Linked DNA regions of Pelodiscus sinensis. The protein of the gene in region 3 binds, or shares a complex with, the protein of the main gene of each other region. Links are inferred from orthologs where the notes say so. Each region holds a gene or a part of one and is shown on either strand. Other genes may lie near its edges. The genes, in order: USP4, USP15, SART3 and CCNT1.

Region 1 (7,569 bases), on a different chromosome or scaffold from region 3:
AAGCCCAGGCCAGGAGTACAGGGTGTCAGCCAGGAGCTGAGACCCGCCTTACTCAGCCACTGGCTCCACTCTTACAGCAGGACACAGAGCCACATGCCAGAGGCCTGAAAGCACCAGCAGTGCCACTCAGCCTGGCCCAGCTCCGCTCCCCAGCCCCAGGCTCGCTCTCCAACCTCCCCCCCCCCAGCTCCGCTCCCCGGCCCCAGGCTCGCTCTCCAACCTCCCCCCGCCCCCCCAGCTCCGCTCCCCGGCCCCAGGCTCGCTCTCCAACCTCCCCCCGCCCCCCAGCTCCGCTCCCGGGCCCCAGGCTCGCTCTCCAACCTCCCCCCACCTCCGCTCCCGGGCCCCAGGCTCGCTCTCCAACCTCCCCCCGCCCCCCCAGCTCCGCTCCCCGGCCCCAGGCTCGCTCTCCAACCTCCCCCCACCCCCCAGCTCCGCTCCCGGGCCCCAGGCTCGCTCTCCAACCTCCCCCCACCTCCGCTCCCGGGCCCCAGGCTCGCTCCCCAACCTCCCCCCCCCCAGCTCCGCTCCCCGGCCCCAGGCTCGCTCTCCAACCTCCCCCCCCCCCCCAGTTCCGCTCCCGGGCCCCAGGCTCGCTCTCCAACCTCCCCCCACCTCCGCTCCCGGGCCCCAGGCTCGCTCCCCAACCTCCCCCCCCCCAGCTCCGCTCCCCGGCCCCAGGCTCGCTCTCCAACCTCCCCCCCCCCAGTTCCGCTCCCGGGCCCCAGGCTCGCTCTCCACCCTCCCCCCCCCAGCTCCGCTCCCCGGCCCCAGGCTCGCTCCCCAACCTCCCCCCCCCCAGCTCCGCTCCCCGGCCCCAGGCTCGCTCCCCAACCTCCCCCCCCCCCCAGCTCCGCTCCCCGGCCCCAGGCTCGCTCCCCAACCTCCCCCCCCCCCAGCTCCGCTCCCCGGCCCCAGGCTCGCTCCCCAACCTCCCCCCCCCCCAGCTCCGCTCCCCGGCCCCAGGCTCGCTCTCCAACCTCCCCCCCCCCAGCTCCGCTCCCCGGCCCCAGGCTCGCTCTCCAACCTCCCCCCCCCCAGCTCCGCTCCCCGGCCCCAGGCTCGCTCCCCAACCTCCCCCCCCCAGCTCCGCTCCCCGGCCCCAGGCTCGCTCCCCAACCTCCCCCCCCCCAGCTCCGCTCCCGGGCCCCAGGCTCGCTCCCCAACCTCCCCCCCCCAGCTCCGCTCCCCGGCCCCAGGCTCGCTCCCCAACCTCCCCCCCCCGCTCCGCTCCCCGGCCCCAGGCTCGCTCTCCAACCTCCCCCCCCCCCAGCTCCGCTCCCCGGCCCCAGGCTCGCTCTCCAACCTCCCCCCCCCCCAGCTCCGCTCCCCGGCCCCAGGCTCGCTCTCCAACCTCCCCCCCCCCCAGCTCCGCTCCCCGGCCCCAGGCTCGCTCCCCAACCTCCCCCCCCCCAGCTCCGCTCCCCGGCCCCAGGCTCGCTCTCCAACCTCCCCCCCCCAGCTCCGCTCCCCGGCCCCAGGCTCGCTCTCCAACCTCCCCCCAGCTCCGCTCCCGGGCCCCAGGCTCGCTCTCCAACCTCCCCCCCCCCAGTTCCGCTCCCGGGCCCCAGGCTCGCTCTCCAACCTCCCCCCCCCCAGCTCCGCTCCCCGGCCCCAGGCTCGCTCTCCAACCTCCCCCCTCCCCAGCTCCGCTCCCCGGCCCCAGGCTCGCTCTCCAACCTCCCCCCTCCCCAGCTCCGCTCCCCGGCCCCAGGCTCGCTCTCCAACCTCCCCCCCCCCAGTTCCGCTCCCGGGCCCCAGGCTCGCTCTCCAACCTCCCCCCCCCCAGTTCCGCTCCCGGGCCCCAGGCTCGCTCTCCAACCTCCCCCCCCCCCAGCTCCGCTCCCCGGCCCCAGGCTCGCTCCCCAACCTCCCCCCCCCCCAGCTCCGCTCCCCGGCCCCAGGCTCGCTCCCCAACCTCCCCCCCCCCCAGCTCCGCTCCCCGGCCCCAGGCTCGCTCCCCAACCTCCCCCCCCCCCCAGCTCCGCTCCCCGGCCCCAGGCTCGCTCCCCAACCTCCCCCCCCCCAGTTCCGCTCCCGGGCCCCAGGCTCGCTCCCCAACCTCCCCCCGCCCCCCCAGCTCCGCTCCCCGGCCCCAGGCTCGCTCCCCAACCTCCCCCCGCCCCCCCAGCTCCGCTCCCCGGCCCCAGGCTCGCTCCCCAACCTCCCCCCACCCCCCAGCTCCGCTCCCCGGCCCCAGGCTCGCTCTCCAACCTCCCCCCCCCCCAGCTCCGCTCCCCGGCCCCAGGCTCGCTCCCCAACCTCCCCCCCCCCCAGCTCCGCTCCCCGGCCCCAGGCTCGCTCCCCAACCTCCCCCCCCCCCAGCTCCGCTCCCCGGCCCCAGGCTCGCTCTCCAACCTCCCCCCCCCCCAGCTCCGCTCCCGGGCCCCAGGCTCGCTCTCCAACCTCCCCCCCCCCCAGCTCCGCTCCCCGGCCCCAGGCTCGCTCCCCAACCTCCCCCCCCCCCAGCTCCGCTCCCCGGCCCCAGGCTCGCTCCCCAACCTCCCCCCCCCCAGCTCCGCTCCCCGGCCCCAGGCTCGCTCTCCAACCTCCCCCCCCCCCAGCTCCGCTCCCCGGCCCCAGGCTCGCTCCCCAACCTCCCCCCACCCCCCAGCTCCGCTCCCCGGCCCCAGGCTCGCTCTCCAACCTCCCCCCCCCCCAGCTCCGCTCCCCGGCCCCAGGCTCGCTCTCCAACCTCCCCCCCCCCAGCTCCGCTCCCCGGCCCCAGGCTCGCTCTCCAACCTCCCCCCCCCCAGCTCCGCTCCCCGGCCCCAGGCTCGCTCTCCAACCTCCCCCCCCCCAGCTCCGCTCCCCGGCCCCAGGCTTCCCCTCTCCAGCCCCCCTCACCAAGACTCGCCCGGCCGCAGCGCCATGCCCAGCAGCGGCCCCAGCTCTGCCCGCTGGGCCCCGACATCCGGCATCGAGCCCCCGCCGCTCTCCAACTCCGTCGCCATATTCGTGCGCGCAGCACCGCCCACCCCCCGCGGCGGATATCCGGCCTGCCGGGCGCATGCGCAGTGCCCTCCGCCCGGGCGGCTCTTCTAGCCCTGAGCATGCGCATTAACGTGCGCTGTGGCGCTGCCCGGCCTGGGCATTCGGCCGGCTCCCTGTGGCGCCGCCGGGGCTGAAGGGCGCGAAAGGGAAGGGGCGGGGCGGGGCGGGGCGGGGCGGGGGGCAAGTTCCCCTTCCAGAAGCAGAGAGGCTAATTTACATATCAACGGTAAGAAGCCGTTTGGCTCCTAGTTAGAGGCTGCGCCGCTAGGAGGCGCAAAGTCTGTGCCTCCGCCTCACCGCGCAGCCGCGTTACCCGCCCGAGGGCGGCGCCTCACCGCGCAGCCGCGTTACCCGCCCGAGGGCGGCGCCTCTCTGCGCAGCCGCGTTACCCGCCTCAGCCTGTGCCATGTGGGTGGAGAGAGGCAGCCCCCCCCCCCCCCCCGGTGGTCCCAGATCGTTTCCGGGCCCGTCCCCAGGGCGCCGGATCCTTCCCGCAAACCCCATTCGTCCTGCCCCTCCCCCATCGTTGCCCTCGCCCCGCCGTGACGTTACGTCCGGCGAGTGCTGCCTTTGCGGCAGGGGCGCGACCCCGCCGCTCGGGGCCGGTAGCTGAATGCGGCCCGCGGGCCAGACGGGTTGCGGCCCGCGGGCCAGGCCTTGCCCACCCGCGTCCTCGCCCCGCTCCCCAGGGCCCAGGCTGTCTGGCCGGGGGTTGCCGGGATCACTCGGAACTCTCCCGTCCTGCATTTCCCTGGCGGGCTGCTTGTGCCATAAACATCCTGCGGGGGGGGGTCTCTGCAGTGTGGCTGGTGTAAGAGAATCTGGACTAAACTGACTCGGGTCTGTTCCACTTCAAGTCACGTTCCTAAAAGAGCACCCATGAAATGCGTTGCACACCCCAGGGTGCGGGGAGCGAGTATTTCTTGACCAGAACCAGACAGTCCAGATTCCACCATACTTCAAAAACGCCCTTGCTAAACAGTTTTGAAATCTGCACCAATCATAGCCTTATGTTGCCTTCTGCTTCATTGTGAATGCTAAATACAGCAGCTGCTTGGTGCTAAATGCTGCACAAGCCAGGACATAATTGTTTTACACCACTGAATGCACATTCCCGCTCATTGTGCAAGCTACATTTGAAATCGGTCTAGGCTGCCTGCTCCTGATAGCCCAAAAATACCCTTAGCATCACTTATGTTACAGTAAGAGGTGGAGACTTACGTGAAAGAGGAAGACACTTATCAGAGTTAGGCAACTATAGCACCACATACTAGCACAGAAGCCTTGCGCAGTCTGTGCAAGAGACAGACATCCTGTTTTACACCAGAAGGAGTGACAGTTGAGCAACATTGTGGCAAACACTGCAACAGTCATTTCTTCAGCCCAATGCGAAACTGGAACTGACAGTCAGATCCACTGCCCCTTAGGAACTGGCTTGCATGAGTACAGGAGAGGCAGAGACATGCTCTGGAGAATGCAGAACCATTTAGAAATGTAGCAGCTGAAGTGGTTTCAAAGTTGGGTGGGAGCTGGATCTAGCCCCCCAGCTTAATCTGATCCAACCCACAGCAGGCAGGCAGCCCCCAGCCTCGGGTGCCCACACTGGGCTGGTGCCCACAAAGCACACTGAATTAAGTGAGAGTGAGAGACAGGTTTTTTTATTCTTGTGTGTGGCCCCAAGTTGACTTTTCTGTGTGTCACTGGCCCTTGGCCAAAAAACATTCCTCAACCTTGTTCTGAGTACACCTTCCTCCTCTCCCCAAGCCAACGGGTGCTGGTTTGTGTTTGACCCACCTCAGCTCACCTGTACTGAAGAGCCTGTTGCCCCGGGCTTTGTCATAGGCTTGTTGCAGCGTCTCTGTGCACAAGGGTTAGAAATCACAGCCAAATACTGGGACTAAGCATGGCCTCCTTCCCTCCCTGTAGGGCGCAGGTGGCTTCTCTCCACCAGGAATTGGCCTGCTCAATTGTATTGACAGGCAAGCCCTCCCCCACCCCTCAGAAAAAGCCATGAACATAATTTCGCCGCTCCCGGTACCAGTCCCAACACACTGCTGCTGGGTACCTTGTTACTGTCCCTTCTTCTGGGCCCCTGGCAGGGTGCAGCTTGTATGTGGCTTGGCAGAGCAGCTCAACCTGTTTTAACTCTTCTGGAATGTTGTGGTAAACTCGCACAGCCCCTCCACGGGCACGTCCGGCAGTATGGGAGAGTAACACTCCACTCAAGCGACACGCCAGCCCCCCGGCCAGTCTGGTGAGTGCACACAACAGTTACACCCGTGCAGCTATCTGTTCACCCCTTATCTCCCACTGCCATTCTCCATGTGCACAAGCCCCAAGTGAGAGCAGAGGGGACGTATCTGTCACTTCCTCCAGGCCACGTCTCCCACGAGCTGTGGTCCCACGAGCCCCGTCACAGACCAGAACATGTGTGAGCCACTGTTGAGCCTCACTCCCCATTTGAAGCAAAGGTTTGTGCGGCATTCTCTGCCTCCTGAGCAGGTCAGAACAAGCTGCTATGACAAATACTTGTAACACCCAGCACAAGCCATGCTGAATTCAAAGTTGCAGCATTTTGGCAGTTCATTGTACTACCAATGGAAGCGTTACTGTGGGGTGACCTGGAAACACCTGGAAGACAGGATTCATGCCACCTCCGACAAGTACTGGAGTATCGCTCACACGCCGACACAGACATAACTCATCGTGGAGACAATTCGAGTGAATTGGACTTCGGGGGCAGATTGCAAACTCCCACGCGGGGCTCAGCTTTTGAAGTTACACCCTCCAGGGGTTGGGCGGGGACAGGACCCCAGTCTGCTGCTTACCTTGTACAGAGCACTTTGGAGACCCGCTCAGGAAGGAGTTAGCTGGTTCTTGTCCGGAGCACGAGGAAAACCTGCAGGTGGTGTTTGAACGACTTCCCTGGTCAGAGGCAGGTTTGCTGGCAGGCAGTGGGGGAGGGGGGGGGGTGTTCCTGGTAACGCTGTTACCTTCGCAGTAATGGCCCGACAGAAGCAGCTGGGGAGGGGGGGCACTTACAGGGGTTCCTGTCACTGAGGAGTGGACAGCAGGCTGCCTTACAGCCAGGTGTTGCTGGGGAGGTCACAGTCCAGGCAGAGTGCTGATCCATCTGGAACCCCCAGGCCAGGCAGCCGAGACACATCTTCCCGAGGAGCCCAGGATGGGGGTCCTGGCTGGGCCAGAGGGGGTACAGGCCCAGCACAGAATGGGTGCCAGCAAAGTTGGAAGCAAGCTGGCATGCCCCGGAGTGACACACTGAGACGGGCTGGCTGGGGGCAGGGCTCTGGATGTACAATTTAGATGAATGGGCTAATCGAATAGTCGGTGCAGTTTGCATCATATATTCGATTAGCCGATAGGCGCCTCCGCCTGTGAAGAGAGGCAACAGTCCCTGGGCTGCTGCTACGCGTCAAATGAGAAAGCGCTGCGGGGAGCAGGGGCTAGTGAGGCAGTCTCCAGCTGGCCCCGGGCTTCACGCAGTGTTTCAAAGTGGCAGCACCGTGTGGAGCCCGGGGTCTGGTCCCAGAGCCCGTGCGGTGCTGCCACTGTGAAGCACCCCCTCTTTTTCCCCCCTTTGCTGCCTCGGAGAGATGCAGCAAGGGGGTGGGAAGTGACTAGTCCTTCACATCCCTAGTTCCTCTGTCCCAGCCAGCCTGGCACCCAAGCAGTTGGGCAGCCCCGGGGACCCATTGTCCTGCAGTACAGGAAATGCACACCCAGCCCTGGGTCCCCCCAATCCCAATCCCTGAAGCCCCCACCCCACAACTCTCTGCCCTGAACCCCCACAGCTCTCGCTTGACTCCTGCACCCACCCACCCACCCCCAAGCACTGCACAGCTCCCACCCCCTGCAATGAGTGCCCCCCACTCACGCTCCAGCTCCCTGCCTTGAACCCCTGGCACTCGATCCCACACATTTCCACCAGGTGCTGTCCTATCACACACACCCCCAACCACTGCCCTGACCACTGCAATAGGACAGAACCGGTCAGTTCCCATCACCCCGATTGGCCAGTGCTATAAATTGGGTCAGACCAGACAGGATGGTTAAAATCTTTACAACCACGACAGTGCAACGTGGCCACCCCTTCTCCATACAGAAGCCATGAGACACTAATCTGCCCCCCTCCCCCGCTAACGAGGCAGTGATGTCACAAAAGGACAGGCAGATGGTCTTCAGGAATTGTATTGGTAACACAAAGGCTCAAAACAAGCTGCCCAGACTCAGGGCTGCTTCCCCTGCAGCAGTTTGCTAAAAATTCACATGCAACTTTTACAGACAACATCAAGTGCTCCTCCGGAAGGGTTTGGAAGAAGCACCATCATGAGTAAAACTTCCATGGACAATAGCATTGTACATACAGGGCAAAGAGGTCACAGAAAGAGCAGGCAGGCCAGGTGAGAGACCTGAAGGCCAGCAGACTGAGGCAACAGGAGGCAGAGATAACAAGCCTGAGGAGGATGACAGAGCCGAGAGAGAAAAGTTTCTGCAGAACTTTGGCTTGGTTGAGAGCGTTCTAGGGGTCTTGCTGGAGGAGTTTTTCGATATCAT
Region 2 (7,277 bases), on a different chromosome or scaffold from region 3:
AAAAAAGCGGCAGACATTTTTATTTAAATGCCGCGGGGGATATTTAAATCCCCCGCGGATTTCCCTATAACGACCTGTAAAATTAGCATGCCCCTTTCGGAAAAGGGGCCAGTGTAGACGTAGCCACGTAGTACTATCAGCACATATAGATATGCTAGCCAGAGTAAACCAGTCATTAACCCTGAGCAAAGTAAGTTAGAATAGAAGTTGGCATGCATTTTTTGTCAGCATAACTTTCTTTTGTATGAATGACTACCAAAGTTCTGAATTGTGATATGCTGCTTGCTTCAGACCTACTTTCTTGCTTATAACAATGCTAAAGAAGCTACTACCCAGTCTTATTATGAAATACTATAAAGGTAACCTTGTTTCGTAAAACCTACCAACTTACTATATTACTATTTGAACACTTGATGTCAGTAAGAGGTTCATATCCATTTTTATACTTGCTCTGCCTCTTAAAATAAGCAGTTTTTTTGCAGAAGTTTTACAATCATACTAAATTTCAGACCTAGTGTCTGATATTATATACAGAAGAAAATATAGTTGAACCTCTCTGGTCCAGAGTGATTTTAGTTAGCCAGATGTCCACATATCATGGGTATGGCCAAATTTCCTGCAGTACGTTTATCTCCACTGGTCCCGGCTCTCAATTTTCTGTGCTGTTATTTAGCTCTAATTTACCCCTAAATGTTTTCTAAGAGCCCAGTAAGCAGTGGGAGTGTTGGTATTGCTGCTAGAAAATATTGACTTCCCATGGTTCCACAAATTCTCTGGCTCAGCACTGGTCAGGTCCCAAGAGCGCTGCACTAGATTCAACCTGTACAACCATTTTGACCACACCGTTATACTAATATCTATCAAATACATTTCCATTCCATGCATCTGACAAAGTGGTTTTTACTCACAAAAGCTTATGCACAAATAAATCTGTTAGTTTTTAAGTTGCCACAGGACTTAGTCTGTATCTGCAAAAACAACAACAGTGGCTGCCCCTTTACACTTATCTAAGTCAACAGAATTTTTTGAACATGTTCAAAAGTCGACTTTTGTTAAACTTACTGTTTTATCCTCCTATTCTGCAGCAAGACAATGGCCACTGTTAACAGTATTCAAAATGGAAGAAACTACTGGTTTGAGTGTAATTCCTTGCACTTAAACAAGAAACACTGGTCACAGTGATAATCCCTTTCAAAACAGAACACTATTAATCATCTCTTGTTCCCATAATATATGAACTAGGGGCCACCAAATGAAACTAATGGGCAGCAGGTTTAAAACAAATAAAAGGAAGTTCTACTTCACACACCGCATAGTCAATCTGTGGAACTCCTTGCCTGAGGAGGCTGTGAAGGCTAGGACTATAACAGGGTTTAAAGAGAACTAGATAAATTCATGGAGGTTAAGTCCATAAATGGCTATTAGCCGTATGGGTAAGGAATGGTGTCTCTAGCCTCTATTTGTCAGAGGGTGGAGATGGATGGCAGGAGAGAGATCGCTTGATCATTACCTGTTCGATTCACTCCCTCTAGGACACCTGGCATTAGCCACTGTTGGCAGACAAGGTACTGGGCTGGACAGACCTTTGGTCTGACCCAAACTTATTTCTTATTTTCAGTATTAATATGTTAATTATACTTGGCTCCCTTTTTTCTAGATGCTTCTACTTTTGCAGAGTTTAAAACCAACTTGTTCTTATGCCAAGAAACGAATATCTACTCATCAGCATTTGAATAATGCATCAGAATGTATGTATGGCTCTGACACATGTTCTAGCAGCACCACCATTAAATACCATATCTTACAGAATTAGAACAGCAAGTGGTGACATATTAAGTCAAAATGATGTAGGTGGTCTATTTCTAAGGATCACACTTACTTTTAAGTAAATCTAAATTTGTGACACTTCAGGGCGTGGGTAGGAGTGTGAATGGGAGGGAAGATATTAGTCCTCCTGGAAGTACTAAGAATTTTTCAAGTTATCTTACTCAGGAGACGGTTTCTAGGAACCAGGAATCTGAGAATTCCCTGTAACTGAACACCAAGCAAATAAAAGGAATTACTAGATCTGTTTCATGCTTCATAAGCATGAGGCAGTTTGTATGATCTCCTGTCAATTAAAAAACTGAAACCTAAAGATACAAGACATCTGAACACAAGAACAGATTAAAGTTACAATTAAACAGCACTGTCTGCTAGCACCTTCAGAGGCTTCACGCTATGGAGTGATAAGCTTGACCCGAGGCCTAGCATGACTGGGGGAAAGGTTTTTTGGGATGCTCCGCTTGGCAAATATGAAACCTGTCGCTACCCGAAAGGGCAGGTGGGGCCATTTCCCTGGTTTATGTTTGAATAATGGAACAGGTACCTGCCGGGGGGAAGGGAGGGACCGAGCTCTGCTCATCGCCCCCTTCCCGGCGCCGGCCAAACGCCCGGCAATCCCAGGCCCTTCATTGTCCTGGCCACACGGAACTCCCCCGCATGCCCAGCTGGGCTCGGGCCAGAGCGGCGGGAGCTACCTGCTCCGGGCAGCCGCAGGGCCCTGGCAGCTCGGACCATGCCGAGGCAGACTTCATGGACACAGGAAGAGTCAGCGCCGCTGGCCAACGCGGCCCCGCCCCCACCTTCACCTGCAGCTCGGCCTCAGCCGCTCCCGAGCCCCGCTGTCCCCTGAAGCCGCGGGCGCCACCCCCCGGGGAGGGTGGGTGGGTGCAGGGCCCGGCCCGCCCCGTTACCAGCAGGGAGCCTATCGGCCCCTCTCCACCTCCCACAGCGCAGCGGCCCCAGGGTGGGAACCCGCTCGCCCCAGGGCCCAACGCCGCCCCCCGCCCCTCCCTCACCAGGTGTCGCCCTTGCGCAGGGCGGTTTTAAGCAGCGCCGCGACGTCCGAGCGCTGGGTCTCCAGATCCGCCGCGCCTCCCTCCGCCATCTTCTCCCCCCGGCGGCGGTGGCGGCGGCAGCAGGGGCAGGAGCGGGCCGCGCTGCATGCTGGGAGTGACGCCAACTGGGAGACGCCCTCGCCACCGCAACAGGGAGGCGGAGACAAGAGGGGAGACCGCGCGTGACCTGCGGGCGCGGGGAGCCGCTGCTGCCCTCTGGCGGGCTGGCGGGCTCCGCTCCGCCTGTGGCGGGGTGTGACGGGGGGAGGAGCAGGCGAGAGGGAGCGGGGACGCGCCGCTATCACAGGTCTGGACTCTTCCAAGCCGCGTGCGCCTGGCCCTGCGTCGCGGAGATGCTATGTAACCTTTGTAGTTTATTGGCTTACGTGCTCATTTCGTCTTGCCTCCAGACCCTATCAAATTGCTTCTCCTCTGTCCATCTGCCGCCTATATAATCTACTGTAATGTTTTGCTTAACCAGTGTTCACCAGGTTAACCCCTGGTTGTCACTCCGCCAGCGCTGAGTGTGTAATAAATCCTCTGACTTTTTTTCACCTGCATCCAGAGTGTCCAGAATTATTCCCTACAATGGTCACAATGGACCTGGTTGCCGAGAACAGCTTCCAAGTCTGGAGGAGTTCCTGGTAGAACTCCGGCAGCTCTGAGAGGTCTCGCAGAAGACCCCCTCGGGTGGAGAAAAAAGAGCTGCCAGTCTGGGGCAGGACGGGGAGCGCCACCTGCCAGCGTAAAGTACCCCGCTATCCTGGCAGCAAAGCCCCAGAGCCCAGTGGGGTGAGGCGGTGTCTCTTACTGCATGCTAGTCTGTTGGCATGGAGAGATAGACACGTTTCCTGGGGCAGTCTCAAAATCTCTGGCCAACAAAGGCAGGCGCCTTTTCCAGGCCTGGCAAGTGTCTCTCTCACTGACATCGTGGGTCCAATAAAAGACCTCTCCCCCACATAACCTGGGACTTTCAGGCTATGTCTAAGCTACATCACTCTTTCAAAAGAGGGATGAAAATTAGACAGATACAAATTGCAAATGAAGCCTGGATTTGAATTTCCCGTGCTTCATTTGTATAATGGCGGTAGTCTTTCGAAAAAGGGCTTTTTGAAAGTAAAATCGATGTCTAGATGTGGTTCTTTCAGGGGAAAAAAAACCCTTTTTTGAAAGATCCTGTACTCCTCAAAAAATGAGCCCCATGTTAACCCAAACTGCAACAGCGGGCCGCAAACAAACGGGCCACATGTTGAATAGCCCTGGTATATATGTATATATGCATATGTCTGTCTTTAAATCAATAGTTAATTTACATGCAGCATCTGGAATTACATAAAGATGTATTTCAATATTGTATACACTAGGCATATGGTCTTTACTATTGTATTATATGCTTACTTTTAATTACAGCCTCTCCCAGAGTAATGAACAAGTTACGGGCCAAACACTTGGCCGTAACTCGATCTGTTCATAACTCGGACCCCTTTGAGTTACAAAGCGACCGTAACTCGACCGTTGCAACTCGGGGACTGGCTGTATGTATTCAGTAGTGTAGATTCTACTAAAGACTTGTTCAAACCGGGATACTGTGGATAATTGAGTATACAAGAATAGGTTGTTTGCTGAGGAGAGAACTGCAAAAAATTCAAAGAATAAACAGCAATGAATATACAGAAAGGAAATACACATTTTTGGTCAGCATATCGCAGACCCCACAGAGAATGGGTAGATGATATAGTAGATTGGTGCGGAGCTAGTCTACAGAAACTAAGCCACTCCGCACTAGAGAGGGAAAGATGGAAGGAAATAGGGAGGCATTGGACACCAACAAGTATAGAGCCCATGGTTATTGATGATGATGATGATGATATCATAATCCTAACAAGAAAGATATCTGAACTGTCCTTGGCTGCTGCTGTGGCCCTCCAAATAGCTAGGGTATGTTTTGGTGATTAGATTTTTTTTTAATGATCTATTTAGAGGAATAAATGGGAGAAAGGGCAAGAGCAACTGTTTCAATAAACAGAAATATTGTCTTTGTACATAATAGGAATGTTAGTGTGTACTCATTTACACAATTAACCAATAAGTCTGAGCTCACCAGTTAATCCTAACAGTTACACAAACCCCTCACCTCGCAGCAAGGTGAGGAGAAGCCCATGCCCATGAGGAACTTGCTTTCTGTGAGCACCAGCTGGTGCCTGACCCCCTGCATGTAAATGTGTAACCACTAAAAAATTCAGCAATTACATATTTACAAAAATAAATGTTTTTTATCATCCCTAGTACATAGCTTGTTGCTGGTGGCTATTCTAGAACTAATATAAATGACCTATTCAGCCTAAGCTGAGAAGCATGAGAACTAATGATTGTAACAAGGCTGCACAAAAGTTAATTTTTGTCTTGTAATGGGATCAAGTTGACTGTTGTAATAACACTAAGGGAAGCAATCTCCACCTTCCTGCCTATTGCATGGTTGTACAGTCAGATGGGGTATTTGATCTGCAATGAATAGATCTGGAACTCTGTCTCAGCTGAAGAATTAGGATAACTGAAAATGAAACTGTTTAATATTTAGCTCCTACATGCGAGAAAGAGGTTGTTTTTTTAACAAGTCTATTCTTCAAGAGTTATTGGGGTTATTTTATTTAATACATGTAATACAATGTTTAAAAAATATTTCCATAAATACTTAGCCCTTACGCAGTATTCTGTATCTTCAAATGCTTTATGAATATGAAGTAATCTTCTCTATATATAATTTAGAGTGCATCTTTGTGTGTCTATCTGCAAGTCTTTCTGTTTCTTAAACTTTTTAACACCAAACAATAATTATTTTTATGAGGAACATCAAGGATTTTTTGAGGAAAAAAAAGGTCAGGGGGAAGTTATTGAGGGGAAAAAAAGGTTGGGGGAAAAGTTATTGAGCAAAAAAAAAAGTCACCCACCCCTTTAAGGGCAGCCATTTTGAACTCTGTTATTCTCCACGGCACTACTCCGACTGCCTTGCAACACACCGGTGTGCCACGGAACATAATTTAAGAAACACTGTCCTAAACAGTTAGAGGTAGGGTTACCATATTTGGCATTCAGCTTCCTTTTCTCCTAACTTAAAGCAAGGTCGGGGGTTGGTTGTGCCAGGACAACCGGAAGGCCCAGGAACAGGACTGTTTCCTATAACATGCAAGGGGAGGTCCTGTTTGAAGGGATGCAATACTGAAAGTGGCCACTAGAGGCAGCAAGCCCGCAGGAGAGAGCTATCCTACGGGGGAAGCCATATCACCAAGGGAGTGGCGAGCAGCACTGAGGCTCCACTATCTTGCCTGCAAACACGCCAGGTAACTAGTCCCCCTGCCCCAAACCCTTTGCCCTCCTCCCTGCCTTTGGCCACAGCACCGGAGGAGAGAAAGAGGCTGTTCTCAGCTATGTGGTACTGCTGGGGGGGGGGGGGGGAAGAAAACACCTCTGGGGACCAGGATGGGGGTGCTGGAGGAATAGAAAATGCCCTGGGCAGGCAGGGGAAGGAAGGGGAACAGAAAATGCCCCCAGCGGCCAGAGGAGCACTCGGGGGGAGAGAACAGGCCCATGAATGGTTAACCATATTTGATAAGCATCACCCTTACTGGTTCATGCTTACTGGTTACCGTTAATCAGTGGGCTGGAGCAGTTCCCCGCCTGCAATGGGTAGGTGACTGTTACAGCTATGAGGCACCTTCCACAGTGCAGGCAGGGGCGCTCCAGCCCAGCCAGAGCAGCCTCTGTCCACAATTAGCCCAGCCTCACCAGAGCAGCCCTTGGCCACGGTGGGCTTGGCCTGGCTGGAGCAGTCCCCCAGCCCGTGGCCAGGAGGGGAGCTCCAGCGCAGGCCCCATTTAATCTGTTAAGCAATTAATCAGAACATTTCAATGCTAAACTGATTAACCAGGATATTATGTCCCTATTGTAAAGCTCTTCTCTCAGTAGTTGCATAGGTGCCAGACTCAGAGGGCTATGGCCCAGCTACTTTTTGACCTGCCACAGTCCAGCTTGGGACAGGTGATCCAGTGGCACCATGGCCAGTTTATCACAGGGGAGACCTTCACCTGTACATTGTAGTGAAAGCCAATGGCAGCAGAATGGGGGAAGAAGAGGGGATTGGCTAGGGGAGGAAGCTGAATCAGTCCTATGGGATAGGAACCATTTCAGACTGAGTTCAAGGTGGGCTTCCTCTTCAATCAACAATTCCTAAAGGCCTCATATCCCCCAGAGACTGGACCTGAACCTTCCTACCAGCATGGCCCCCCAACTTTAAATGTTACACTTCAGGCTATGTACGTGCTTGAATTAACTATTTTGAATTTTAAAAAAGAGGGGAAAAAACCCTTCCAGAGCCAAGGGTATCTTAATTATATATTTTTT
Region 3 (7,628 bases):
AAATGTAAGAGAGTATATCCAGCAATTGGTTACTAGGGTAGAACTTCAGAGTTCTATTTTGGACTGTGCCATCAATTCCTTCAGTGTCTCAGGTAATGGCTACACTATAGAGCTTACAGCAGTGCAACTGTAAGCTCTCTAGTGGAGCTGCTCTCAGTGGACTGGAGAGAGCTCTCCAATTAATCCACCCCAACAAGTGGCAGCTGGAGAAGATCTCTTAACAACATAGAGCAGTTCACAATGGTTCTTATGTTGGCGTAATTTACATTGCTCAGGGAGTGGTTTGTTCACACCCCGAGCAACATAAAATACACCAGTCAAAGTGCTAGTGTAGACCTACCCCCAGACTGCTCAATGTGAAGTGAAAATAATACACGCCTTTCACCAGTCTGCATAAAGGTTGTGCAATGTTTCATTGTTTTCAAAGCCCACTGAGGGTACAAAATGAAAGATTCTATTTTGGCAGGTGACTGAACTGAGCCCTTGGAGCTAGAAGCCACTGTTTAATAATGTGGATCCTCAGGTGATAAGCATAATAAGCAGGTGCCTAAATCTCACTAAGCAGTTGTGCACATTTGTCTAATCATCATTTTAGTGGTAAAACTGATGGTTTGTATCCAAATTGCAGTAGATCCCACTTTTCAATAACACTGTACAAAAACGGAGAATTTGCTCCAGTAAACTAATATAAATATCCAAAAAATGTTAGCTTCCCATCTAATAACTGGAAATAGCAAACATAAGCAGTTCTCAAGATAAAATAGTAGTTTCTGAGATGTGAAAAGATCGAAGTTCTTTTCTAATTAAGGTTCTGCCTCCCTATTCTCAATGTACGTCAAGCTCAGAAAAACATTTGTTACTGCATGGTCCACCTTGCAGTTCATTTCAACAACAGACACGCATGCTTTCCAATTATATTAGTCCTCAAGAAGTTCTATTCCTGGTTGCAACCATCAATTATTTCAGTAATCAGTGCATAGAGAAAACCCTCTGAAGTTAGCACTATTCCAGTTTGCCATAGCAATTAAAACACCAAAGAATTACACAACAGAACTATTTCATAAAGATATAACATTTTCATAATTACCATGCTGAAATTAAAAGCGAAGAGCACATTTCTGTAGAAATTCTGAAAGTGTCTCCAACTGAAAGGGTTGTGTACCAAGACAGCTAAAAAAGGTACATATTTCAATTCTCGAACAGAAACCACACATAGTTTATGAATAGTATAATGTACATACATTACACATGATTATGAAACTTTGAATTTGTTAGCAATATTAGGGTTTAACTGATTAACTGTTTAACCAATCAGCTGATGCTTATCAGTTAATGGTACAGATTACACTCAACCAATTCCAGGGGGAGGTGGTTTCACTGCAGTAGGGAAGAGAAGTTTCCTTCCCAGGGAGGACAAGCAGCTCTCTTCCTCCTCCCAAGCGAGGTAGGCAGCTTCACTGAAGGCTCTACAGTACTGCTGAACCAGTAGCACATGTAGCCACTAAGATTTTTAGCAGTTTCACAGTTACCCTATTACACGATTTTTAACATCCCTTGTTCCACTGTGTGTTCAAAGAATTTGAGACTATAAACAAACAGAAAGGATTTCTTGATATTTTACAACAGACAGCAGAATTATACAATCCTGGATTAACACTACAGAATGAATGGGTGTGAATTCCCCACACCTAAAAGTTCACCCATCTATACTATCACATGTTCCTTATTCTCTTTAATCCACTAGTTCCAAAAATCTCTCCCTTTCTTCACATGTTAATTGTGCTCCAACATTTAATGGGGGGGCCACGATACAGACTCCATCACCTATTGATTCCTTTGCTCTATCAATATTAATGATGTGTACGGCCCTAGCCCCCACAAAATGCAACTCTGCTTCCTGTGCACACACAGACAATCCCTGGCCTATAGCTCCTAACAGATGAAGGCAAGCAGCGATAAGCAAGGGCAGAGAAGGATTCTGTTCTTCTGTGCACCCTACAGAAAGCGTGGGGGCTCCTGCTGAGCAGTGACTAGCCCCCAGTCTGGATGCTCACACCCCCCAAGGATGAGGGCCCGATGCTCTGGCCTGGGCGCTACTCGCAGAGCCCCCAGGGCGGCGCTTCCCTCCTGCACACCCCGAGCCGCAGCCGCGGAGCCGCCTCCCCCTCCCCGCGCGCTGCGGGGACCGAACCGAGGGTGACCCCGCCGGCCGAGGCAGGGCTGAGGGCGGCTCCACGCGCGAGGCAACGGGCTTCGCGGGCGCACCCGGCTCGCGCCCCGCCCCCTCCCCCCGCGTGCCCACGAGCACCGGGCCGCGATCCCCACCTGCTCCTCCAGCCGCTGGATCTCGGCTTCGTTCTCCTTCTCCTCGTCCTCGCCATCCGCCGACGAGCCCGAGTCGCTCTCGTCCCCGCCCTGCTCCTCCGGCCGCCGCTCTTCCTCCGCCGCCGCCGCTACTGCCGCCGTCTCTTCGGGCCCGGCTGCCGCCGCCTCCGCCATCTTGTGCAGCTACGCGCTGCGCACTGCCTGCCGACCTCGGCCAAGCCGCGGGGCTGCCGCTGGCGCGCCTGACTCGCCCGTCCCCGCGCAGATGCTGAACGCACCCCCGACAAGAAGATTGAAGGCCCGGGTGGAGCTCGCTGTACTCAGCTCTGCAGCAACGGCTGTTTCCGATTAGGGAGTCACGGCCTTCTCGTGATGGATTCTTACAGGCACCTGCGTGGGCTGCTGAGGTCCTCCTGGGCATGTCGGGGCCCTGAAGGAGGTCCCCCTGGCCAGGGCTTGTCGGTAGGGGAAGGACCCAGGCTTGGCCGCCATATTGTGTGTGGCAACTCTTCTGTACGCAGGCTCAAAGGCTTGCTTGGGCTTTGAGCACCTCTGTCCATAGCAAAATGGCTCGGGTCTTGTTGCTGCGTCCCCGCTCATCCTCCCACAACCATAGCAGGATGAGAGCCATTGTAATAACTGGACATTCAGTACACGATGTACGTGTATCATGGATGGTGCAGGGGCTAGTGCATAAGAAATTAAATATTCTCGTCTTTATAAAGTTCCCGTAGCTGCATCACTAGAGAATGGGATATGGCATGGGAATTAAATATGGTGAAATGTATTTGCAAAGTCCACCCCTCCATCCCTCTTACCTCTTTCTGGTGACCTTGCACAAGAAATTAAAACAGATATTTGCAAAACTCCCTCTGACCTGTCCAACCTCAGTGTTCAGGATGCTGTCTAAATATTTGATAAAACTGTAAAGCATCCTAAGGCAGCAAGGTCTGGAAATATGCAAATGGGAATATGAATAAAAAAACTTGCACCTCTTCTCTCCCCCCCCCCCCCCCCCCATTAGAACTCATTCCCTCAGAAGCCAAATGAGAAACCAAGTACTGATCACAACAGAGCAAGACTATTATTAGCTCTCTGGTCTGGAATCCTGACTAGCTAATTGTCAAACTACAACACTGTATAGGACAAATTCAGGCTTTGGATAAACTGCCTGGCTACGTCTAGACTGGCATGATTTTCCGGAAATGTTTTTAACAGAAAAGTTTTCCGTTAAAAGCATTTTCGGCACAGAGCGTCTAGATTGGCACGGACACTTTTCCGCAAAAGCACTTTTTGCGGAAAAGCGTCCGTGGCCAATCTAGACACACTTTTCTGCAAAAAAGCCCCAATCATCATTTTCGCGATCAGGGCTTTTTTGCGCAAAACAAATCTCAGCTGTCTACACTGGCCCTTTTGTGCAAAAGTTTTGCACAAAAGGGACTTTTGCCCGAATGGGAGCAGCATAGTATTTCCGCAAAAAACGCTGATTTCTTACAGTAGGAAATCAGTGCTTTTGCGGAAATTCAAGCGGCCAGTGTAGACAGCAGGCAAGTTTTTCCAGAAAAGCAACTGATTTTCCAGAAAAACTGGCCAGTCTAGACACAGCCCGAGAGTGGATCATCTGTCAGCCAGCTGTTAGGTGAGTCCTGTAAATGGTTCTGAACATGGTGCAAAACACAGTTGGCTTTAGAGATGTAAGTGACTAGCCTAAGCAACTAGTCAACTATTAGGTGGAAGGGAGCAGGAGCCTGTGCTGGGAAGAACCAATTAGGTTCCCACCACCATGTCTCCACTGTGGGATGGAAACAGAAGCATACCAGTTCCCACTCCTGGCACTTCTGCTTTTGAAATGTACAAGAGTCCTTTTTTGAACCCTGATCTTCACAATTTGCTCTAGCAAGGAGTTCCACTGATTGCAATAAGCCTGGAAGGCATAAACACATATCTCAGTGGGCTGGGTCTTCCCCGCTTGGATGGCTTGTTGCTCCCCTAGGCAAGTGGGTGTGTGCACAATGTGCACCGGGCCCAGGCACAGAACAGCTGTTGGTTAAGCCTGGGTTGGTTTCTGCCGGGCAATACTCGGGTTCATCCAGACCCGGCTATTGGCTCGCTCAGGCCTGGGCAGCTCTCCCGGGGCAGCGATGCCGAGCAGGCGTGGAGGGTCCATTTCCCAAGCGCAGAGCAAAAGGATGCAAAGCGCCGTAAACATGTCCTGGGGGCGCGCCCTGCTGCACGCGGCGCTGCGCGGCCCCCGCCGGCACCAGCAGACACGTGACCGGCCGGGTTGGATACCACAGGGGGGAGGGGCCGGACACGCGCCTTCTAGCTGCTGCTCTTTGAGCCCCGCAAGTCACTGCCCTTTGCCCCTCGCGAGGGGGCGGGGCCAGGACACGTGCGGGTCACGTGGGGGGCGTGACGCGACGCGCTCCTAACAGTGCGCGGGGACAGGGCGGGACATCTCGCGCTGCCCGCTGCCGAGAGAAGATGGCGGCGCTGAGGCTGACGGGGGGCTGGGCTGCCGCTGCGCTGCTGAGACCCGGGCCCGGGGGGTTGGCAGGCCCCGCCGCGGGGTATCACAAGAAGGTCAGTGAGGGGGCCGGGAGCAGCACTGGGGGCGGGGGGGGCCTTGTAGGCGAGATGTGAGTCCTTAGGGGCGGGGCGTGAGGGGGCAAGAGGCTGACAGCAGCGATGGGGGCGGGGGGGAGTAGAGAGGGGGGAGGGGAGTAGAGAGGGATGGGGGCGGGGGGGAGTAGAGAGGGGGGAGGGGAGTAGAGAGGGGTGGGGGCAGCATTGGGGGCGGGGGAGTAGAGAGGGGGGAGGGGTGGGGGCAGCATTGGGGGCGGGGGAGTAGAGAGGGGGGAGGGGTGGGGGCAGCATTGGGGGCGGGGGAGTAGAGGGGGGAGGGGTGGGGGCAGCATTGGGGGCGGGGGAGTAGAGGGGGGGAGGGGTGGGGGCAGCATTGGGGCAGGGGGGAGTAGAGAGGGGGAGGGGTGGGGGCAGCATTGGGGGCGGGGGGGAGTAGAGAGGGGGAGGGGTGGGGGCAGCATTGGGGGCGGGGGGGAGTAGAGAGGGGGGAGGGGTGGGGGCAGCATTGGGGGCGGGGGGGAGTAGAGAGGGGGGAGGGGTGGGGGCAGCATTGGGGGCGGGGGGGAGTAGAGAGGGGGGAGGGGTGGGGGCAGCATTGGGGGCGGGGGGAGTAGACAGGGGGGAGGGGTGGGGCAGCATTGGGGGCGGGGGGGAGTAGAGAGGGGGAGGGGTGGGGGCAGCATTGGGGGCGGGGGGGAGTAGAGAGGGGGGAGGGGTGGGGGCAGCATTGGGGCAGGAGGTTGTTGGTTGTGAGATCAGCATGGAGGGGAGGTAGAGCAGAGAGGGATTGGGAGGAAAGAACTTGGCAGGGGTGAAGAAGAGGATGGGATCCTGGGAGTTGTGTGGGAAACTTGGGACTGGGAAAGGAGAAGGAGGTCTGGCTATTGTGGGACTAGGGGGCTTATGGACTCCCATGCCCTTGAAGCTGGGGCAGCGTTGGGGAGGTTCTCAGCCGTGCCATGCACTGGGCTTTCTTGCAGTATGTTTTAAACTGCACAGACGTTGTGAGCGCTTTCCTAGACAGGGACTGTAGATACCATAATCCTTGCCAATAAAATTCCCTTTTAGGTAGTGGATCACTACGAAAATCCTAGAAACGTGGGCTCCCTTGATAAGAGTGCAAAGAACGTTGGCACTGGATTAGTGGGTGCCCCTGCCTGTGGAGATGTGATGAAATTACAGGTGAGTTATCAAATAACAAACATGATTATTTCTGTGTTCACTGAGAGATCTCTAGTATATTGAATATTATGAACTGACCACGCTGGTTATGTTGACAATCATATAAGCTGTTTGCCAGAAAAAAAGAGAGGACATGCAAGTAACTTTACAAAATGAAAAGTTACAGAATATGAACATATTAGTCTTAAATGAGAACTGCCTTCACATGAAACTTCTGGTGGATAATTCTGATTTAATGGTATTACAGGTGGTAAAATAAAAAATATAAAAGAGCCTCTATTTCATTTATATATCTGATTGTTTCCCATACATTGTCATGTTATCCACTGTTAAAATGTTCTGGTGAAAATCAACAAGAATATCAGGAGGATTTAGAGGCAGGTGTCAGCTCTGAAGACTACATTTAACTCACCTTTTGAAACAAAAGTAGACCTTAAGTGGATGATGTCCATTAAAGTCTACTTGTAACTGCTGTCTTAAACCACTAGTAAAATGACTTTCCGTTTCTAGAACTAAAATGTAAATGTTTTACAGTATTCCTTGCCTTACTCTTAGGTCCTATTCTGCTACCATGGATACCAATGTGAAGGATACTTTGCCTTGATTTCTGTGAATAGGTTGAAATCAAATCATTATCAAGCTGAGTCCTCTTCAGTTATAGTACCACAAGAATGTTATGTAACCAAATATATAACACAAATATTATATACCAAATCAATGTCATTGGAATTCTTGCAGGTTGAAGTAGATAAAAATGGAAAAATTGTTGATGCAAGATTCAAAACATTTGGCTGTGGATCAGCAATTGCCTCAAGCTCATTGGCCACAGAATGGATTAAAGGAAAAACGGTAAAACTGACTTCACATCTGTGAAAGAGCATATTACACAAAAACTAGCAGCATAAATCGCTATTAATGCTACACCATTCATTATTAGAGGCTATATGTGGAACCATGAGAAGCATAGTATGAAGTTTCCGTTTTACCTAGTGTGAATTTTTTCTACAATGAAGCAGGTTAAAAATATTTCATCCCTGTCAATGAAATGTGATCTAGTTTACTAATCTTAATTTCCATTTCTAGAAAAGCAGACCTTACTTTGATAGCTTAATTTTCAAAGTGGCTTTGGCCTACATAGCCAGAAATAATTTATGCATATTTTCCTGACAGAGGATATTGTGAAGACCAAGTCTTTAACAGGGTTCAAAAAAGAACTAGTTAAATTCATGGAGGATATATCCCTCAATATTTATTAGCCAGGATAGGTAGGAAGGGTGTCCCTAGCCTTTGTTTGTCAGAAGCTGTTCATATGAAAATTTTTTGCTTACGTCTGGTATCTTGGGATGGAAGGAGAATGGGAAAGATGTTGATAGGGTGGTCAGAGCAATTTGTTTATACACAACCCTTTTAAAATGCTTTTGCACTATCAGTAAGCATACCAAAATAATTCTTTGTATGTTTCTCTCACAACCCCATCCTGAAGGTTAGTCCTCAAAACACGTCTTTCACAAATCTGTGGCTCAAGATGACCACCT
Region 4 (7,793 bases), on a different chromosome or scaffold from region 3:
AATTAAAAAATACCCCAAAAACAAATGCTAAAATAGCCCATCAAAGCAGCAGGCAACCTGATCAAAACATGGACATTGATTCTAGACTCCTTTCACTACACCAGAGCAGAGCGTCACCCATTCCAACCAGGTGATTAGAGTACCACGATGTTACAGTCTATAACACTTGTAACCAGAGTTACTGACATCCAAGCAGAACAAAACCTGTTGGGGATAGAAACAAGCCAAACTGCATATTTTTAAGCTAACAACTCAAATTAAAGTGAAACCTGAAAACACATGTATTCGAACCAAAGCATGAACTAGTGGTGTGAAAAAATAGTTTGTTGCCTGAACTCTTGCTCTCCCATTGGCCAGCTGTGCATCTGCCCTCCAGCTGTGAAGAAGACTGTGGAGTTAGACTTTCCGCTCTGCAGAGCGCTCCTGGGTCTGGGATTCGAGTGGAAGCCCGTCCGCTTTGAGAAACTTACCCAGGGTCTGCAGTATAATGCTCTCTAGAATGACCAGGTCTTGGGCTTGCTGCAGGTAAGCCTGGGGTTGAGAGGACAGGCAGGTTACTCACGATGAGCCACTCTGTATAAAGCCTGCACATTTCTAACTCTCTCTCAGGGAGGCCACAAAAATAAATTAATAAAAAAAAATCAAGGGGGAATCTTTATCCCACTCAGTACTAGAGGGAACTGGCACAGATTCCCCCCCCAAAAGAGAGAAAGCCAAGTGCTGGATGGGTACACTCCTTTGCTAGTGTTCATTTCACATGGGTTGCTGTGGCTGGAACTACGTGCTTTAGTCTTTGTCTCTCCATAAGAGTTTTACACATGAAGGGACATGTCAATGTGAGAAGCGTAGGTTAAAATTTAACCTTTTCATCATTTTCTACAAGCTTTGGCTCCTGGATAAAGCTTCTCCCTTTCAGCAGGGTTGGACACTCAGTTCCAGTTATGAAGGGCTGTCATGAGAGATGGGGAAATGGAAATATTTTTAACAATCTCATCATTAGACAGGAATGAACCATACACACTATTTTCTGCTTTGTTACAAGTGCTATTTAACCCTGACAGACATGTTCACTCCCTGCCCAGAAGCCTCTAATGCAGACACGACTACATGGCACATCGGATTCTTTTGTTGACATCCATGTAATAGAGGGAAACATGAGAGACCATAGAGCAGATGAGACAAGTCATCTACTCTTTAGAAGCCTGATGAGACGCTTTCCCACAAGTTATTTCTATTACCAGGATTCTACATGTCAGGATGCAGTACTCTGTGAGTATGTTCTCATTCCTCTCTCTCAAGCATGGAAATCATTCTGCTGGAGTCTGACCACTTACCTCGCTCCTAGTGTCTGGAGGGGTGTCCAGAGGATGCAGGCATGCGTGTGCTACCTTGATTACATGCTCCAGCTTACGAGGCTGTTCCTCCACCTTGGCTGCCAAGAACAGAGCTGCTGGTGCCACAGACTTCATTGGGCGGGGGGAGGGGAGGGGAGGGAAAAAAACATAAAAATTGTCTCCTGCTTCAAATATTCACACGCCTGTAGTGTCAGTGTCCAGACAGGCTCTGCTGCTATGAACCTCTCTGAGCAACCTTAGAGCTATGAAACAGTTGTATTTACTGATTTCCTCCAGGCGTCAAATCTATGGTGTAAATATGGATTTTAGGAGCTACAAGAAAAGTATTCCCTTTTAAATGCCTGTAGTAGGAAAACACTGTGTTTTGTTTTAAAGTCAGTAAAAGTGCAGGAAGTCAACTTCTAAAACTAACTAAAGAAACATTCATAGAACAAGAAAAATCTTTTAAGGATCCAAAGAATGCCAGCTGTGACAAAGTCATAATTACTGGCCATTACATTACATCTTTTGCCCAAAGATATCAAAGTACCTAATCAGTCCAAGCTCACAATCTCCCCTCCCAGGAGGTAGTCCAGTATTACTTCTATTTTAGAGATACGTAAATGGAAGTACAAAGAAAAGATGCTCTTTAGGTCACACAGCAAAGAGAACCCAGATCTCTTCACTCCCCCCGTTGTGCCAATTTAGGGGCAGGGAAATGTTGATAACGAACAGCTGTCACAGGAGGCTGTCCCCGGTTTTCAGACAAAAGGCAACTGCCCAACCAATACTTACGTTGCGGTGAAACTGGGTGAAGGACTGAACCATGTAGAACCGGTGCACATACACGATAGCTGTATTGATGGTCAGCTGAGAGCTGACGGCGTGGAGTTAAGAAAAATCAGTCTTGAAATTCTGCACGTCCGCCCCCCTCTTTCTGGGGAGCGGAGCACTTTGGCGGGCAAGGCGCTGGTGGCAGGCAGCGGTGGGCAACGTGCAGCGCAACGGGGATCTGCATGTGGCCCCGGAGACGCTTTCTTTACAGAGCCCCCCCCCCGCAGAGGTGGGGGCTGGTTTCCATCCGCGGAGGTTTTTGTTCTCTACGGGGGCTACTGAAGGGACGCGCAGGTGAAGCCAGGGGCACGTGCAGCGAGGGGGGGAGCCGGGCGGTCCCTGCTACGGTTCCACCGCCCCGGGAACGCAAGTGCAGCGGGCGGCGGCAGCACCCCCCCCCCCCCGGGAGAGCGGCCCGCGCGCGCAGCGCACTCGCCGGCCCCCCCGCCGATGCCAGGCGTCCCGCGGGAGGCGCGGTGGGGAGGGGAGGGGTCACTGAGCCGCGGGCGGCCCGGCTGGGGGAGGGGCTCGCCCGGCGGGCGGCGGGAGGGGGCGCGTTTCCGCTGCCCCGGGCCCGCTACTCGAGCCCCAGGCTGCGCGGCCTACCCGGCGCGGATACACGTTGAGGCGCTGGCCCATGTCCTGCAGCAGGTTGGCCGCCTGCTGCCGGTACGAGAGCTCCTTGTCCGGGTCGAGCCCGGCGCGCCGGGAGGGGCTGCGCTCCAGCTGCTCGCGGCTGAAGTACCAGCGCTTCCCCGCGCCGCCGCCGCCGCCGGCCCCTCCGCTCACTGAGGCCTCCATGGCGATCCGCGGGGCGCGCGCACGCCCCCCCCCCCACCGGGCGCGCGCGCGCGCACGCACGACGTCTTGCGCGCGCATGCGCCCCGCGGCGCGAGCGGGCGGCGGGGCAAGCAGGGGCCGCATTGCGCATGCGGCCGGCGCGTCCCGCGTTCAGGAGTACGAGCCGAGTCCAGCTTGTGCGCAGGTTGCGGCTAGGCCGCTGAGTGGGACTGCACTGCGCATGCGTGAGACCTGGGGGGGGCGCCTAGGGAACAGAAGTGGGCATGCGCAGAAGCAGGACCCTGGGGAGGCGGGTCGCTGGGTGGGGAGTGGTGTTGTCTTGACCTCTGACCCTTCTAGCCAACCTGACCCAGCCCCCCCCCCGTGACCCTGCCCTTCATCCCACTTCCATGACCCCCCCCAGCCCTCAGTGACCCCACCCCCCATGACCCCACCTGGCATCCCACCCCCCATGACCCCAGCTGACACCCCAACCCCGTGACCCCCACCCCCATGACCCCACCTGGCATCCCACCCCCCATGACCCCCACCCCCATGACCCCACCTGGCATCCCACCCCCCATGACCCCAGCTGACACCCCAACCCCGTGACCCCCACCCCCATGACCCCACCTGGCATCCCACCCCCCCATGACCCCAGCTGACACCCCAATGCCGTGACCCCCACCCCCCATGACCCCACCTGACATCCCACCCCCCATGACCCCAGCTGACACCCCAACGCCGTGACCCCCCACCCCCCATGACCCCACCTGGCATCCCACCCCCCATGACCCCACCTGACACCCCAACGCCGTGACCCCCCACCCCCCATGACCCCACCTGGCATCCCACCCCCCATGACCCCACCTGACATCCCACCCCCCATGACCCCAGCTGACACCCCAACCCCGTGACCCCCACCCCCCATGACCCCACCTGGCATCCCACCCCCCATGACCCCAGCTGACACCCCAACCCCGTGACCCCACCCCCCATGACCCCACCTGGCATCCCACCCCCCATGACCCCAGCTGACACCCCAACCCCCTGACCCCCACCCCGTGACCCCCCCCGACTGCACCTGAGCCCTCAGCCCCCTGCACCTGTGACTCCAGACCACCCCATGCCAACACAACCATTTTTAGCCCAGCCTCCCACCAGCCCAGAGCCCAGTCTCCACCCCCTGCTCATGTATAAGTGGCTGGTTCTGCCCTCAGGGCAGAGCTGCCCCTCCTCAGTGCATGGCAGTGCTCAAAGAAGCAAACAGGAAAAAAAGGGTCCTAAGGAACGGGGCTGAAAAGAATGTAGCACCCTACTCCTGGGGTCCCTCGGCTGGGACGTGAGTGAGAGATTCAGAGAGATGCAATGAGGATGATTCACAGATTAAAAGGACTGGGACTTAGTGAAGAAAGTGAAGTGAAAGAAAGTGAAAAAAGAAGAGACATATGTGACTGAGATTTTTAAAGTAAACATTGGAGAAGGAACTTGGGCATGGCGCCGGCTCTTATTGCAGGGGAAAGGTGACAACCAAGGGCATTTAAGTCTGATGAGACATTGCATTCTACAAAGCACAAATAGCGTAGCTCACTGCTACAGTATATAACTGGGGGCAAAAGCTTAGGAGATTGAGCTAAAAGGAGCACCCATTTATAGGGCCAATGAGAGCCACAAGAGTAAAATTTGCATTTTACAAGGGACAGAAATGCCCCAATGATGGGGATGAAACCTCCACTCGGTGATGGGGAAGTAGAGCACTTTCTTCTTAGGGGAAGGTTTTTCTACAACTGCTCACTTCAGAGTTTCTTGCCCTTCTGCCTCCAGAACTGGCCCCTGTTGGAAAGAGGATGTTTCCCTGCTCAGCCAGGGCATTCCTATGTTATCCGGGTTGGTTTACAACAGATGGCCAACACAAAATAACAGAGGACAAGGAAGACCGCTGGGAAAGTTGAATTCTTCCTACTAAATGTTTGCATGCTGGTTGTGCCCCCAAAACTCGAGGAGGGGGGCAGGGCCCCCACTGTACTGTGTACTGTATGCATATAGAAATGAGGTAATCTGTCTGCTGGAGTCCTTTCTAGACACCAAACATCTGCAAGTGCCTGAGCAATTCCTCAGATAGCAGGATGCCAGACACTTTGGCCTACACCCACCCAGCACCCCCACAACATCAAAATAGACTCCCCTGGAGCAGGCTGGCAGCTCCAGGGAGGGAATTAATTTGTGACCAAGGACTCCAGACTCTTATTGCTAAAGATCTTCAGTGTTGCTGACTGACCCACCCCGTAGAGATAATCTGTCCTGTGCGGGATGAAGGACAAAGTGACCCTGCTGACATCCACACAGCCTAGAGAACTCCGTCTGCTACAAGGTCCTTGAGAATCTCATGAGACAGCATTTTCAAAGAACTGAACGGACACCAGTTTATTTACTTGAACGTGAGATCAGCCAGACTGGGTCAGAACAAAGGTCCATCCAGCCCAGTATCCTGTCTTCCAACAGTGACCAATGCCAAGTGCCCCACAGGGAATGAACAGAACAGGGAATCATGAAGCGACCATCCTCTGTCACTCATTCCCAGTTTCTGACAAACAGAGTCTAGGGACGCCATCCCTGCCCATACTGGCTAATAACATTGATGGACCTGTCCTCCATCAATGTATCTAGTTCTCTTTTGAACCCTGTTAAAGTCCTGGTCTTCACAACATCCTCCGGCAAGGAGTTCCACAGGTGGGCTGTGCATTGTGTGAAGAAATACTTCCTTCTATTTTAAACCTGCTACTAGTAATTTCATTTGGTTCTTGTGTTATAGGAACAAGTAAATAACTTTTCCTTATTTTACTTGGAGCCCCCAGAGAGCAGACCGATTGGAATGACTCCTAGTCCCTACCTATCTGCACTGGATTAAAAGCAATGTGTGGGTAGGTGCCTGGAGTGCTGATGTGATTGAGGTGCCAGGATTTTCCCGTTATACGAACAGCAGGTGAGCAGAGCTCCCTGAGCTGGAGTGGAGAGGGTTTTTGAGGGGCCAACCCTCCTCCTTTTGCTGAAGTTTGGTCTCAGGTACCCCAGATTTAATACAACACAAACCCAAGCCAGAAGACAAGCTGTCGTCGTGACCACCTCCCATTACAGCCTCACAAACCCACATTCCAACTGGGTGGGAGGAGAGTCACCAACCAGGCTGCTGGGGCATCTCTATGGCAACGGAATCAACAGTTGCTTCACGGCAAAGCACCAGGGGCTGGAGGGAGCCAGAAAGCGCCTTCCTCGACTGACCCGGGCGGACGCAGGCGGCGTAGGAAATGGCTTTCTTTGGATTAACCTACCTGGGGTACCAGGAGCCCTTTCGGGAGAAAAAGCTGGCGTTAAAAACACCTGATGCAGCAGGTAAGAAGAGAGCCCAGATGCTATGGTGATGGGTGCATTAGAAACAGACCCGACTTGTCGCTGGTTGGTGGGCCAAGCACCCTGGAGAGCAGACTGGGGCTCTTCGTAGGGCAACAATTACAAGGCTTTTCCTTGGGTGATGTTAAAAAACTCTGACCCTCCCCCAGTCTCCTGGTGGGACAGCCCAGTGGAGTGGAAGGGGACAGGCATGTGTCAGTTAATAAAAGCCCTTCGCCAGTCGCCCCAGGGTGGTAGTGGTTTAAACCTGGAGCGGAGCCCCACTAACCCAAATCACTGTAGCATTCCAGCAGTCCCGCTACCTCCCAGTCTCTCTGCATCCGAGGCTCATGGGTGGAGGTCAGAGGGTCTCTTCCAGCCTCCTTAAGTTACCTCTGGCCTCATGTTCCAAGTACCATCCTGCCAGATGAGGATTGGACAGGTCTCTCTGCAGGAGTCACTGTTTGTAGCTGGCTACTTGAGCCTGCAGAAGGGTCAGGTTCAAACCCCCTCTGGGCAGCAGAGACTGAATTTCAGCCACTGACGAGCACCGGTCAGCAGCCCAGGTGTGAAACAAGTTCTCGGAGGACCGGGTTTCTACCTCAAAACTCACCATGGCCTTGGAAAGGGTTCAGAAAAGGGCAACTAAAATGATTAGGTGTTTGGAACGGGTCCCATATGAGGAGAGTTTAAAGAGACTGGGATTTTTCAGTTTAGAAAAGAGGAGACTGAGGGGGGATATGATAAAGGTATATAAAATCATGAGTGGTGTGGAGAGGGCCAATAAAGAAAAGTTATTTATTAGTTCCCTAAATAGAAGAACTAGAGGACACCAAATGAAATTAATGGGTAGCAGGTTTAAAACTAATAAAAGAAAGTTCTTCTTCACACAGCGTGTAGTCAACCTGTGGAACTCCTTGCCAGAGGAGGCTGTGAAGGCTAGGACTATAATAGAGTTTAAAGAGAAGCTAGATAATTTCATGGAGGTTAGGTCCATAAAAGGCTATTAGCCAGGGGATAAAATGGTGTCCTTGGCCTCTGTTTGTCAGAGGCTGGAGAGAGATGGCAGGAGACAAATCACTTGATCATTGTCTTCGGCCCACCCTCTCTGGGGCACCTGGTGCTGGCCACTGTCGGCAGACAGGATACTGGGCTAGACGGACCTTTGGTCTGACCCAGTCCGGCTGTTCTTATGTTCTTACCATGCCAGGCCCCCAGCCGCCCTGCTGGGGCCGTCTCCTGGGCTTCATTTTAAGTTTCCTTCTTGTCCTTCTCCTCAGGGCCGAAGCCACTCAGAGGGGGATTATTTCACCCATCGCTCCCCCCCATCGGCCCTGGGCGCTTGGATGGCACGGTGCACCAGGGCAGCCACGACCGCTATCGAGAGGCTGTGACGCACCGTTGGCTCCAGAGAAGTGAGTGAACAGTGTAATTCTCACGAGAGGGGGAACACGGAGT

What was found.
Region 1: the proteins of SART3 (region 3) and USP4 are in contact, whole or in part, in a crystal structure (PDB 5CTR), measured with the Homo sapiens proteins. The link is inferred for Pelodiscus sinensis from reciprocal best matches to the Homo sapiens genes SART3 and USP4. Residues at the interface, in NP_055521.1 of Homo sapiens: Asp437, Ser438, Ser439, Lys440, Gln490, Arg493, Glu494, Trp496, Asp497, Met500, Thr501, Ala505, Trp511, Tyr514, Lys529, Arg533, Cys537; in NP_003354.2 of Homo sapiens: Met24, Thr27, Leu28, Ser53, Trp54, Glu123, Gly125, Leu126, Phe127, Val128, Lys129, His130, Cys131, Lys132.
Region 2: the proteins of SART3 (region 3) and USP15 are in contact, whole or in part, in a crystal structure (PDB 5JJW), measured with the Homo sapiens proteins. The link is inferred for Pelodiscus sinensis from reciprocal best matches to the Homo sapiens genes SART3 and USP15. Residues at the interface, in NP_055521.1 of Homo sapiens: Ser438, Ser439, Lys440, Glu443, Gln490, Arg493, Glu494, Trp496, Asp497, Met500, Thr501, Ala505, Trp511, Tyr514, Arg533, Cys537; in NP_001239007.1 of Homo sapiens: Ser23, Leu24, Asp48, Trp50, Gly121, Met122, Phe123, Val124, Lys125, His126, Lys128.
Region 4: SART3 (region 3) and CCNT1 share a complex: the UniProt entries of both Homo sapiens proteins name them as parts of the 7SK snRNP complex. The link is inferred for Pelodiscus sinensis from reciprocal best matches to the Homo sapiens genes SART3 and CCNT1.

The regions. Positions count from the first base shown.
Region 1 is NC_134721.1:46,559,723-46,567,291, reverse strand, and holds the start of USP4 (ubiquitin carboxyl-terminal hydrolase 4), read right to left. Parts: upstream 3,004-7,569; 5' UTR 2,955-3,003; coding exon 2,848-2,954; intron 1-2,847.
Region 2 is NC_134711.1:59,323,381-59,330,657, reverse strand, and holds the start of USP15 (ubiquitin carboxyl-terminal hydrolase 15), read right to left. Parts: upstream 3,008-7,277; 5' UTR 2,930-3,007; coding exon 2,841-2,929; intron 1,749-2,840; exon of another isoform or gene 1,658-1,748; intron 1-1,657. UniProt on the Homo sapiens protein: Hydrolase that removes conjugated ubiquitin from target proteins and regulates various pathways such as the TGF-beta receptor signaling, NF-kappa-B and RNF41/NRDP1-PRKN pathways.
Region 3 is NC_134725.1:36,567,763-36,575,390, forward strand, and holds the start of SART3 (spliceosome associated factor 3, U4/U6 recycling protein), read right to left. Parts: upstream 3,010-7,628; 5' UTR 2,500-3,009; coding exon 2,326-2,499; intron 1-2,325. Other genes in the region: iron-sulfur cluster assembly enzyme ISCU, read left to right, coding at 4,810-4,908, 5,980-6,093, 6,832-6,942. UniProt on the Homo sapiens protein: U6 snRNP-binding protein that functions as a recycling factor of the splicing machinery. Promotes the initial reassembly of U4 and U6 snRNPs following their ejection from the spliceosome during its maturation.
Region 4 is NC_134729.1:5,163,331-5,171,123, reverse strand, and holds the start of CCNT1 (cyclin-T1), read right to left. Parts: upstream 3,013-7,793; 5' UTR 2,970-3,012; coding exon 2,788-2,969; intron 2,212-2,787; coding exon 2,130-2,211; intron 1,467-2,129; exon of another isoform or gene 1,464-1,466; coding exon 1,335-1,463; intron 950-1,334; coding exon 863-949; intron 532-862; coding exon 471-531; intron 1-470. Other genes in the region: SPMIP11 (sperm microtubule inner protein 11), read left to right, coding at 6,254-6,338, 7,616-7,750. UniProt on the Homo sapiens protein: Regulatory subunit of the cyclin-dependent kinase pair (CDK9/cyclin-T1) complex, also called positive transcription elongation factor B (P-TEFb), which facilitates the transition from abortive to productive elongation by phosphorylating the CTD (C-terminal domain) of the large subunit of RNA polymerase II (RNA Pol II).